Schizosaccharomyces pombe: one gene and its partners. Changing the gene in region 3 together with the main gene of any one other region gives a genetic interaction. Each region holds a gene or a part of one and is shown on either strand. Other genes may lie near its edges.

Region 1 (5,022 bases), 3.1 Mb from region 3:
CCGTTCTTTTTACGGGTGGCATTAAGGTCATTTTTCAATCGTTCGATATCTAACACTAAGTCTTTTATAAGGACTTTTCGAAAGACAAGCTGATTATTTTGAGGCTTATTGCGTATACTTTTAGCACGAGCAGCATACTCCAAAGTAGAAATTGTTTCTTCCAAATTAGTATTAGTAGAAGATACGGTAACGATCATAGAGGTTTTAGTCTTTCCCCCCAAAGAATCCTGCAATAGGCGTGTAAGCTTGGACTCACGGTATGGAATATGGTGGGCCTTTTCCACTAATGCATTAATTACTCGGCCTAATGTTAATAGTGATTGATTGATCATTCCAGTTTCTCGAGCACGTTTGTTTTCAGCTCCAGAACGTCCAATGTTCTCGCTTCCAGCCAAATCAACCATATGAAGTTTGCTGGCGCGCAGCAAGTCATCAGAGTTATTATTTATGGTAAGTGAATTAGTTTCATCTGTCATTCCCGAAGATACCTTTCTATGCAGAGTTATCGTGAAGATTGAATGACTACGAGATGAAAGATCGTTACACTTTGTAGCAGCAACTTGACGCCGGTGAGAGCCTTCACGTAACAATCGCAACCCATCGCCAGCATTTTTTATATAACTTTCTTCAATACCAGTAATAACAACGTTCCCTCTCCGCGAAGTATCTTCAAAAACACGAGCTGGCTTTCGCAATTCTTCGGAAACCAAAAGATCGCGAATTTCCTCGTTGTAAAGTTCATAATAGGAGCATTTGACAGCATATTCTTGATTACTGTTGTCCAAGGAGGAAAATAATTGATAAAGGGCACGAGGAATAAGGCCTGCTCCTTCAGACAAAATTCCATCGGAATCGCTAAGATCACCAGACATAGTATATGTTTTACCGGTTCCAGTTTGTCCGTACGCAAATATAGTACAATTATAGCCGTTCAATACTTGCTCCAGCATGGGCGCTACCGAATTTTCGAATAGCATTAACTGGTCAGCTTCAGGACCAAAGACTTTATCAAAGGCATACGTCTTCGTGACCAACATGGATGAAGGATCCGACTGGATGGCCAATTCAGCACCCATAGCGCCCGAAGTCGATACAGCAAGGCTACTATTGTCGCGTACTTCTTGGTCTGTACGACCACGAACACGGACGACTACGTTAATATTGGTTTCGTTCTCATCATGAAGTGCATGATCTGTCGGAGAATTAGTGTCGGAGCGATCTGGGTACCCAGTGTCAATAGTAGGAGGCTCACGTCGTTTCCTAGGATTGCTCGCAGAGCGGAAATGTGAATTTGGAGTAGAAACCGGGTTTTTAGCTTTCAACCCCTGCTTTCCTAGAAATTGTTGTGAGCCACCAGGTGCAACTCTAGGGGCCATTCGGTTTTATGAGTAAGGATTGTTACAAAGAAAGCGACAAGGTTGTTAATTTAAATTGCAATTCTGTTGTAAAGTTCAATAAACCACAATATAAAAAAAAGGGGTAAATTTAAAATAGGAAAAGATCGTAAACGTCTGTTTTTAGGGGTAAAAAGAATGAATAAATTGGACAATTGTCGCTCCTGAGTATGTTGTTGAATTGTTGTAAACAAGAACGAGGACTCAGACACGGTAACACTTGGAATGTCTCATTCCAATGTTTTGCAGTACAAATCAACAGTATAAAAAGAGAAAAAAGAACTTTTATGAAAAATCCAACAATTGTGCTAATACTAAAAATCAATACAAAATGAACGAACTTGGCAGATAAACTGTTGTCAGTAATGATAATAGTCAAAATCGGTAGAATGAGTTAAAATCTAAAAAAGAAGAAATATAAAACAGAATCAACTTTATTAGTTTATTTTAAATGATACCATGTTTTTTAAATTCTACTTTTCATTACTTTCAATTTTTTTTAAATTTCTCTAAAGTTACTCTTCGATGTCCCCCCAGTCACTGGGTGAAGAAACTTGACTAGAGACAACGGCACTACACCAGAAATGTCGGAAATCCTAATTGAGGAAATTAAGGATCAAATCGTCGTAAAGGACGAGGAAATCGATGTTTCTGAACTGGAAGTTAAGCTTAATGTAACTAAACCTGTTGGATATGACACGGTTGTAGTAATCGAAGGTGCTCCAGTTGTCGAAGAAGCTAAGCAGCAAGATTTCTTCCGTTTTTTGAGCTCAAAAGTCCTTGCTAAAATTGGAAAGGTTAAGGAAAATGGATTTTATATGCCATTTGAGGAAAAAAATGGAAAAAAGATGTCTCTTGGACTAGTTTTCGCCGATTTTGAAAATGTTGATGGCGCCGATCTTTGCGTTCAAGAGTTGGATGGAAAGCAAATTTTAAAAAACCATACTTTCGTTGTTCGTAAGTTGAATCAACTCGAAAAAGCTTTTAGCACTCCTGATGAATTTAGTTTCGAAGAACGTGAATTTAAGGAGCGCGAACATTTGCGTAGCTGGTTAACTGATTACTATGGTCGTGATCAATTTATCAGCTATTACGGTAACCGTGTATCTGTTAACTGGAACCGTAAGAGCGACGTCCCTGAACAGATTGTGGATCGTGAAAACTGGACCGAGACCTACGTGCAATGGTCTCCCATGGGCACTTACCTCGTATCACTTCATCTTCGTGGTATTCAATTATGGGGTGGGGAATCTTGGGGAATGTGTGCTCGTTTCTTGCACCCCTACGTAAAATTTGTCGACTTCAGCCCTAACGAGAAGTATCTTGTTTCATGGTCCTATGAGCCTGTTCGACTTCCTCCCATCGGACATCCGGCTCGTGAAACAATGCCTTTCACTGATGATGATGAAGGAAAACATTGCTTCGTTTGGGATATTGCCTCTGGTCGTATTCTTCGTTCTTTTAAGATTCCTCCTCAACCAGAAGGTTCAAAGGATGGCAAAAAAGTTATTTGGCCTATTTTCAAGTGGTCTGCCGATGATAAATACCTTGCTCGCGTTACTGTTGGTCAGTCGATTTCTGTTTATGAGACACCCTCCCTTGCTTTGGTTGACAAGAAAACTATCAAGATCGACGGTGTGCAAAATTTTGAATGGTGCCCAGTTTCAGATGCTCTCGGACGTGATTCCAAGGAGCAGCTTTTAGCTTACTGGACCCCTGAAATTACCAATCAACCTGCTCGCGTTGCCTTAATTAGTATTCCTTCAAAATCAACTATCCGTACGAAAAATCTTTTCAATGTTTCCGACTGTAAGTTGTACTGGCAGTCTAATGGTGATTATTTATGTGTTAAGGTTGATCGTCACACAAAAACTAAGAAATCAACATTCTCTAACCTTGAAATATTCCGAATTCGTGAGAAAAATATTCCCGTTGAAGTAGTGGATCTTAAGGATGTTGTTCTCAATTTTGCCTGGGAACCTAAGAGTGATCGTTTTGCCATAATTTCAGCTAATGATCAAGTTTTAAATTCTACAAATGTAAAAACTAATTTATCGTTTTATGGTTTTGAGCAGAAAAAGAACACCCCTAGTACTTTCCGTCATATCATTACTTTTGATAAGAAAACATGCAATTCACTTTTTATGGCGCCTAAGGGTAGATTTATGGTTGCTGCAACCCTTGGTTCCTCTACTCAATATGATTTGGAGTTTTACGACTTAGATTTTGATACCGAAAAGAAAGAACCGGATGCTCTTGCCAATGTTCAGCAAATAGGTTCTGCCGAGCACTTTGGTATGACTGAGCTGGAGTGGGATCCTAGTGGTCGATATGTTACTACTAGCAGTACTATTTGGAGGCATAAGCTTGAGAACGGTTACAGACTTTGCGATTTTAGGGGCACACTTCTTCGTGAAGAAATGATTGGAGAATTTAAGCAGTTTATCTGGCGTCCGAGACCTCCTTCTCCATTGACAAAGGAAGACATGAAGAAAATTAGAAAGAAACTTAAGGATTATAATCGTTTGTTTGATGAAGAGGATATCGCCGAACAGAGTTCCGCCAATCGTGAATTGGCAGCCCGTAGAAGACAGCTCATTAGTGAGTGGCAGAAATATAGGGATGAGGTTATTGCTCGGGTTGCGGAAGAACGTGCAATCACTGGCCAACCTGCTATCACTGTTCCTGCTGAAGAAGAAGAAATAATTCAGGAAACGGTTGAGGAAGTAATCTCTGAAGAGATAGAACCCGTTGAAGATTAAGGGCTTTACGCTACCTTTTGTCATAAAAAAATTGGGGCCTTCTTCGAAATCGGATGTTACTTGATTAAAATCATGATCTTGTTGCCGCAATTATGTGTTCCTGGACGTGTATTTGCGTTTCGATTGGTACTGTATGGGGAAATTTATATTTACATTAGTCCTTTTAAATGGAATTGCATTTGCGTTACATACTACTGTATATAAGTAATATAGCGTTCTTAATAGTTTTGTGAATGTCCGAGTATTATTTGACTCAAGAAAGTTTCTAAATTCATATTGTCTTAATGCACTCTAGAGATTTAAACATAAACATTTTATTGGTAAATAAAGTATAAACAAGCCAATTTAAAGAGATAATTGATAGCTGCAGAATGAGAAAATATATCATTCATAAAGAGCGCATAAAAATTAGAAACACTACAAAAACTCAACGTTTGATATGAGTACAAACAAAAGTTAAGCCACTAAGACAAATTCCCATACCAAGCGGATGAATTGCCGTCAGAAGCGTCTAAAACTCGTCCTGCTATGGGCTTGCTTTTATCCGTCGTAACCGTTTTTTTCAACCGAGTGCCAGTATGAATTTGTTGAAGTAAAGCACTACGATCTCCTGGATTGGGAACAGAAGGAGCCGATGAAGCAGGAAGAGGTGGTGGTGGAGCAGACGGTGGACCGGCAGGCATTGGCGGTGCAGATGGAGGTGGTGGTACTGACATAGGAGGAGGTGGTGGTGTTGGAGCAGACATTTGAGGTGGTGCCGCCGATTGAGGTCTTACAGGAGGTGTTGAAACAGGATGAGCAGGAGCCATACCACCGAATAATTTGGCGGCTAAGGCAGCTGCATCTTTACTTGAACGTATGTCATC
Region 2 (4,360 bases), on a different chromosome or scaffold from region 3:
TTAACCGACCTTATCCGTTGCTTACGGAGCCTTAGAATACCAAAGAAAAGTGTATCAAATAGTTTGAAGGAGCGAGAACGCTTGACAGAAGTATGTTTCTTAATACCAGAACGGGAACGATTATGCATAGGGGTATTTAATTTTTCACTCGATATACATAACTTAGAGGGATCTTCAATGTTGACAGAAGTAGGAAGTTGCGATGGACTGCGCATATCATTTGCCTGCGCATCATTAGTGCCTTGACGGGTATAACTGGAATTTTGATGTGGAAGCATGGTAATAAATTTTAAGAAAAAGAGAAAATAAAAGTAAAATGGAAACAAATCACAATCAAAGGTGAAGTGATGGGATTAAAGGTTTTAATGAGAAAATAATTCGACAAATATGTAACAAAGGGAAACTTTTTTTTTGAATTACACGAAATGTTTTCAAACTTGAATTATGCACAAAATTAGAGAAACCTGAGAATAATAAATAAGCTTGATAATCCAAATAGCCAAGGGATTAATGGGATATAGGGTTGTAGTGATATTTCGGGTGTTTAATTTATTTAGAAATGGGTATAAAGTCCAGACTGTAAACAGAAAATAATCAGTAAACGAAATCTTTAGTGTTCCGTCCGAAAGAAGTTACCCTAACGAGATATGAAATTATGCGAACAGACGAAGTTTTAGAAGCCGACAATTGAATAAATAAAGGATCAAACTTGCTTAGTTTTATCGAAGGAAGCAAAGCAAGAGAACCGTGAGTAGGAAATAGAAAGTGAACAGTAATAAAAAAAAGTAAAACAGTAGGGAACGTTTTCTTAGAGCTTATTACAATTACGAAAAATAAAGCTTATCCCAATTGAGATAGTTAAAAAAAAAGGAACGAAATAAAACGATATGAAAGACAACAAAGGATGGAAAAACAAAAACAAACCGCTGAATGAATTAATCAAAAGAAAGCGGAAAAATTAATAAATACTCATCAATAGAGTAGCACAAGATGAAGCGAAGGGAGTAGGACAAGGCGTTAAGCCTGCGTTTAGTCTGAACAATAGATATAGACTAAAAAGTGAAAGACGGAATTTCAAAGTCTTAATTGGGGTATTCTATGTATATATACGTCCATATCTGGTAACATTTGCAAACCGTCTTTGATGTCAATTTAATAAGGAACCGAAGGTAACTTGCACACCTTGAGCAGTGACTGGGAGTAACACTCTCCTTGACATTCCCTCGGTACATAGGAGACGAATGAACCGAATGAACAAATAAACTAGATAGTTGCCCAAAAATGCACACAAAGCATTATCACTTTTATTAATTCAAATAACGACATACCAAAGTCGTAAAAGTTGGTAACAAACTCTTCAAATGATATTTCTACTATAACATTTTTCGTAGTACTTACCACTACGGGAGATTTGTAGAATCGGTATGATGCTGTGGAAGAAGAGTTATAGCGGGTTTCCTCAATGTGTACATGTTATTCTCATTGTACACTTGCATCTTAATTTTCACATTGCTCTCTCCCATCAATGATTTGCTTTGGAAAAACAACGGGAACAGAAATCTGGGAGGGAACGGAAAAGTATATTCATAGCAATCACAATTTAACGATAATTATTATGGTCAAATGAATACATATATTGAAAAGAATCGGTCAGCTGGATAGAAAATATGTAAACAGTGCAGCACTTATGAAGGTAATTTTATTTGTTTGCATCAGGTAGCAAGAGTTTTACGGGGATTAATAGAATTCGTTATATATACACTAACAATATAGGACGTAGTTTGTTATTGCTACCTAGTGTTGGGCGATACCAGCTAACGGTGTAGTGTATTTGGCTTTCTCTTTTGTGCATTCAGGGTTGTTGATTGCGAGTCTTATTCAATTTTATTCTGCCAATGCCGGGTTCACCAAGCCAAGAGCCTTTGGCAGAGGCCGAGTCTAATATGCTTCAAAGACTGGAGCAACTACAAATGCAAACATCGAATATTCTCAAGGAACTGCATTCTACGTCGATTTTCACGGATTCTACCACCTCACAACTTCATAATGGAGGTGAGAACTCTGTAATGGATACTGAGGAATCCTCGGCTATTGATAAATTAAGTGCCTCTTTACAGCAAGTAAACATTTCTTCACCATCAGTTCCTACCTCTCAATCTCGGGTTACCCAAGGCCAGTCATTAGGAAATACCCAAATATCTAATCCTACTTCAAAGACTAATAATGTACGAGCCAAAGCTCGGAATATTCGTAATCCCTCTCAACGTCTTCGACCCTCGACTAGTTTGGCCAGGTTATCAAATAACGCACCTCGCATTCCCAAAGAGGCATCACTACATGAGAATTCAATTTCTTCCAAGGAATCTCCTTCTGTAACGACCTCTAAACATGTCGCTACTATTACAAAACCTTCAACGTCGTCTATCGCCCGAATGTCCTCAAATGCTAGAATTGCTGCTATTCCGAGAGCGAAATCTTCAATGGCAGTTCGTTCACCATCACGCCTTGGTAATGGCCCGAATGTGCGCTCACCAAAGGTCGGCTTCAATGCAAAGTCGGATGATAGCCCCGTCGTCAAATCTCCTGGCTCTAACGACAAGCCTTCAGCTTCTCCTCGAATTTCTGTTCGTTCTCTCGGAAATTCTTCTGTCGTTCGTCCACCCACAAGGACTTCCACCACCCGTCCATTATCTAGAGTTAACGTAACAAATGCTTCCGGAAGTATCTCAAAGAATTCTACTAGTCCTTCCAAAGTAAAAGTCAACGCATCGACCAAGATCGTGCGTCCTGTAAGTGCAGCTCAGACTGTCCGACCGGGATCCAGAATCTTCAGAGAAAACTCTGCGTCCAATACTCAAAGACCCAACGTCTCTGCCACTTCTAACTCAACTGTTCGGGTAGCTTCTTCATTAGCTGTACGACCTGTTTCACGTAACGCGCAGGCGCGTACTCCCTCAAGATTAGAACAGAGAGAAGTTAATGTGAAAAATTCATCAGCTAAAATCGTTCGTCCAGGTACTTCTTTAGGTGTTCGTTCACCTTCTCGCATTCAATCCACTCTCTCTTCGAGGACAACTACAGGCAATGTTCGTACTAAAGCGGCTAATATCGTTCGTCCTTCTTCATCAATCAACCGTCGCCCTCCTTCGTCAATAAATCAACGCCCTCCTTCAAACTTGCGCATTTTGGCTCCATCTCGCTCGCGTGCAACAATTCATGAGAGACCAAGCAGTTCAATTTTACACAGGCATGCCCATTCACTAACTTCTTCATCCTTTTCCACTAAAACATTGGCTACAACCAAAGAAATTCAGAATTCGCCTACTTTGGTAGAGTCTTCGACAGTCGTTCATCATGATCCTTCTTATCTTCAAAACCAAACTTCCGAAATTAACGATACTAATCACTCTTCTCATTCGTCACCTTTGGACCTTAACAGAATGATATAAAAGTTGAGTGAGCTGCTGTAATTTGATGGCTTCTGTTCCATTTACACTTATTATTCTGCATAATTTATATCACATGTAGATGTTTTATCATAAGGATATTATTATTAAAAATAAGACAAACCATACGGGAAGAATTGGATGTTACGATTTGATATATTACTTTGTATTACTTAAGATCAGCTAATTAATAGCTTTTAAGCTGAAATTATGTTGCATAGGTTTATTCAGTTGAAAGCTTCACGACTGACTTGATGATAGTCGAGAAGTTTAGAGGGATGCGCTCTGTGTTAAAATTCAGCATGCAGCAACATCAGCATACAACCGATATGTAATAAATTAACATTAACAAACTGGCATTGTTTTCGTGCTCTATCAACTATCAGCAGTAAGTAATTGAAGACATTATGAAGTAAATGAGATTGCTGCATTACTAATTCATTTAGCAAAAAATTAAGTAAATAGAAGGGTTAATTTGTGCAACTTGTACGGTATATTTTGGATAGCGCAATTACGTTACGATTCATAACTGCAAGAATATCGAGCTACTCCAGTGCGCTTTCCTTAGGAAACCAAAACAATATTTTAGTACCTTTTTTTTAAATATTACTGACGAGTTTCATTCTGATTTCTTTTTATTACTCCTAACGGATGTGGCTTTAATACAATCATGTCAATGAACAGCTCAACGGAAATTTCTCAAGAGCCCTCTATAATGAAACCGGTATCTTCAGTAAGTATTTTTGCTATTTGAACTTCTGCGTACCTTGAGTCTCAGTTCTTGTATGAACTTTACTCTCAAATTAATGGTTGTTTGCGTAGTTAATTATTTTGGATTTATTGTTAAATCGTTCATGTTTTGTTTAACGATTTCCAAACAAAAAAAGTCTGAATATTTTACCTCTCCTTCAAAG
Region 3 (3,520 bases):
GAAAAAAAGGCAGACAAAATTGATGCTTTGCACCAAAGAGTAGCACAGAGACTGTTTAAAACGATTTACAAAAATGGCGGTTTATACATCAAGATGGGTCAAATCATTGCTATGCAATCAAATAATTTGCCTGAAGCGTATGGGAAAGCCTTTCAGGGAATGTTTGACAATGCACCTCAAGTTGAATGGGAAGAACTTCAAGACATATTCAAAGAGCAATATGGAAGACCAGTAGAGGAAGTATTTGCCAGCATTGAGAAACGTGCTGCTGCAAGTGCCAGTATTGCGCAGGTACATCGTGCTGTTTTACCTAGCGGTGAAAAGGTCGCGGTAAAAATTCAAAAACCAGATGTTGCTAAGCAAATGTCGTGGGATCTTCTCGTGTACAAATACATGATGTATGTTTATGATAAATGGATATTTCATATCCCTCTCTACTTTACGGTTGATTATGTCTCGGAAAGATTACGTTCTGAGGTTGATTTTACAACTGAAGCTAACAATTCGGAACATGCTCGTGAAGGGGTAGAAGAAACTGATTATTTAAGAGATAAGATATATATACCAAAGGTTTATAAAGAGATTTCTGGAAAGCGAGTAATGGTTACTGAATGGGCTGATGGCATTCCCCTCTATGATCAAACTGCTCTTTCTGAAGCTGGGATGAGCAAAAAGGAAATTTTAACGAACCTTTTCAGATTCCTTGCCTTCCAAATGTTTCATTCGAAACAAGTTCATTGTGATCCACATCCTGGAAATATCCTTGTTCGAAAAAATCAAGCAGGCTTGTGTCAAACGGTAATTTTGGATCATGGGTTATATGTATTTGAATCAGAAAAGTTTAGAAAAGAATTTGCCTTGCTTTTCACTGCAGCCTATTCATTAGACAAAAAATCTATTCTTCAGGTAATGGATGCTTGGGGGATTGGACAACCTGAGCTTTTTGCTAACCGCATGTTAAATATTCCAATGGATGAAGAGCAACCTCACACTGGTGAAAAAATTATTTCAAAGAAAGAGGCCTTCCAACAGCAGCTTGCTGAACGCAAAAAGTTCATTGGCTTCTTACAGGACTGCACTCGTTTACCGAAAGAGCTGTTAATGCTAGGTCGCTGCTTAATGCTTATTCAAAAAAATAACCAAAATTTTGGGTATCCAGTGAATAGTATAGCTGTTATGGCCAAGGTTGCTGATAAATACACTACCGACAAACCTAGTCCAACTTGGTATCAACGGCTGTTGTCGCCTATTTTTTGGGTCTTTCAACATTTATTTTACCCTGGAAATTTTCGGTTGCCTGAACTTACTAATGATAAAAAATGATATTTATAGTAAAGATTACTTTTCTTTATGGAAAGCCAATCTTTGACCATAATAATATAACTTCACATATTGCCTACTTTTCTCGATAAGACACTTCAGAGCTCCTCCTTGTAAAAGTTAAGCTCCTCCCTATACGAGTCAAACTTTGTATCGTTATTCACTATTACAGTACATCAAGCTCGGTATCTTATATGTCAATGAAGTATACTGATAATATAGTGATACTAAACCGAGTGATAAATATATATATATAGTAGATCAGTAAGGTTGAAATCTACCTACCGCATATTTAACCACAATGTCAGACTACGGGTTTGCAAATATTGAGGAAGCTAAGGCAGATGCAATTTTTAAATTAAATGCTCAATACCATCAGGATGAAGATCCCAAGAAGGTTAACATGAGTGTTGGCGCCTATCGTGACGATACTGGTAAGCCTTGGATTTTGCCTGCAGTTAAAAAAGCATCTAAAATAGTGGAAGAACAGGCAAGCTTCAACCATGAATATTTACCAATTGCTGGATTGCCTCGTTTCACTAAGGCTGCGGCTGAAGTTCTTTTCAGACCCAATCCTCATTTATTGTCCGAGGACCGTGTTGCATCTATGCAGTCAGTCTCTGGTACTGGTGCCAATTTTCTTGCTGCTAGTTTCATTGAGACTTTCTATGTAAAGCACACTGGAGCCCATGTATACATCTCCAACCCTACTTGGCCTGTCCATCGCACTTTGTGGGAAAAATTGGGAGTCACTGTAGATACATATCCTTATTGGGATGCCAAGAATAGATCTTTTGATTACGAAGGCATGCTAAGTACCATTAAATCTGCTCCCGAAGGAAGTATATTTTTACTTCATGCTTGTGCTCACAATCCTACTGGTATTGACCCCACTAGGGAACAATGGCTTTCTATATTCGAGAGTCTGCTTTCTCGCAAGCATCTGGTAGTTTTTGACATTGCTTATCAAGGTTTTGCCAGTGGTGATCTGAATCGTGACTCTTGGGCTCTAAACGAGTTTGTCAAATATAACAAGGACTTTTTCGTTTGTCAGTCATTTGCTAAAAATATGGGTCTTTATGGTGAACGTACTGGTTGCATGCATTACGTTGCAAAGGACGCTTCCACTAAAAACAAGGTCTTATCTCAATTGTGTATTGTTCAACGTAACACCATTTCTAACCCTCCCGCTTACGGTGCACGTATTGCTGCCGAAATTCTTAACAGTCCTCAATTGTTTGCTGAATGGGAACAAGATTTAAAGACTATGTCTTCTAGAATCATTGAGATGAGGAAACGTCTTCGCGATTCTCTTGTTGCACTCAAAACCCCCGGTTCTTGGGATCATATTACACAACAAATTGGAATGTTTTCTTTTACCGGTTTAACGCCTGCACAAGTCCAATTTTGCCAGGAGCGGTACCATCTTTATTTCAGTGCAAATGGTCGTATTTCTATGGCTGGTTTGAACAATTCTAATGTAGAGCATGTTGCACAGGCATTTAACCATGCTGTTCGCGAGTTGCCTTAAACTGATTATTAATACCAAAGTCACATAGATAAGTATTGGATTCATGAATACAGAATTTTGGATTGTTGTAAATTTGACGAATTTAGGAACAAATTCTTTAGCAATTTAGAGAACTAGTATATGCATTTATTCTTTGAATTTTTGAATAATATGAAGTTATCTGTTCAACTCATACACCGGGACTTCTCCTTTGTGAGTTAGACATCAGTATTTGGCTCATTATTTGCAAAACAAGTTGATATCAGTTTGTAATCGGATATGTTTAGACAAAACTGAGAAAGAGTTCTTTTTTAATAATTCATAACTTGCAAATTGATTAATGACAGAGTATTTGAATTCTTTGTTATATCGAGGTTTACTACATTAATATAATACAACTTTTAGCAACTATTAGAGCCAATACAAAGAAAAGAAGTCAAAACTTAAGTAATACAATATGAGTATGATTTTCTTTGTTTTACTTCCCTATTGTGTCAACTATAATTTTAAGCAGGAAATTTTGAAAATATCCTAATAACTCGAAAACCAGGCTAAAGCAAGGAATATCCCTCTTTGCATAAATTTTATTTCTTCTCGTGTCTTTCCTCCAATAATTAATAATTATAACATCTCTAAATGTGTATGAGTTAGTTTGTTAGGACATTTTGACTCAATAATTCTTCTCGATAA

The links.
Region 1: mutations in caa1 (region 3) and tif302 together harm fitness more than expected from each alone (negative genetic interaction), as found in Schizosaccharomyces pombe (one large-scale study listed by BioGRID).
Region 2: mutations in caa1 (region 3) and mmb1 together harm fitness more than expected from each alone (negative genetic interaction), as found in Schizosaccharomyces pombe (one large-scale study listed by BioGRID).

What each region holds. Positions count from the first base shown.
Region 1 is NC_003424.3:4,308,601-4,313,622, forward strand, and holds tif302 (translation initiation factor eIF3b (p84)), read left to right. Parts: upstream 1-1,960; 5' UTR 1,961-1,978; coding exon 1,979-4,156; 3' UTR 4,157-4,461; downstream 4,462-5,022. Other genes in the region: kinesin-5 family plus-end directed microtubule motor, bimC subfamily Cut7, read right to left, coding at 1-1,376; pan1 (actin cortical patch component protein PanI), read right to left, coding at 4,621-5,022.
Region 2 is NC_003423.3:2,608,127-2,612,486, reverse strand, and holds mmb1 (mitochondrial microtubule binder Mmb1), read left to right. Parts: upstream 1-1,846; 5' UTR 1,847-1,943; coding exon 1,944-3,449; 3' UTR 3,450-3,799; downstream 3,800-4,360. Other genes in the region: SPOM_SPBC25B2.08 (uncharacterized protein), read right to left, coding at 1-278; BTB/POZ family ubiquitin-type ligase substrate adaptor Btb2, read left to right, coding at 4,117-4,179. UniProt on the Schizosaccharomyces pombe protein: Involved in the cell polarity process and in regulation of microtubule growth. Has a role in meiosis. Involved in microtubule dynamics.
Region 3 is NC_003424.3:1,230,119-1,233,638, reverse strand, and holds caa1 (aspartate aminotransferase), read left to right. Parts: upstream 1-1,599; 5' UTR 1,600-1,621; coding exon 1,622-2,851; 3' UTR 2,852-2,999; downstream 3,000-3,520. Other genes in the region: SPOM_SPAC10F6.14C (ABC1 kinase family protein), read left to right, coding at 1-1,323. UniProt on the Schizosaccharomyces pombe protein: Plays a key role in amino acid metabolism.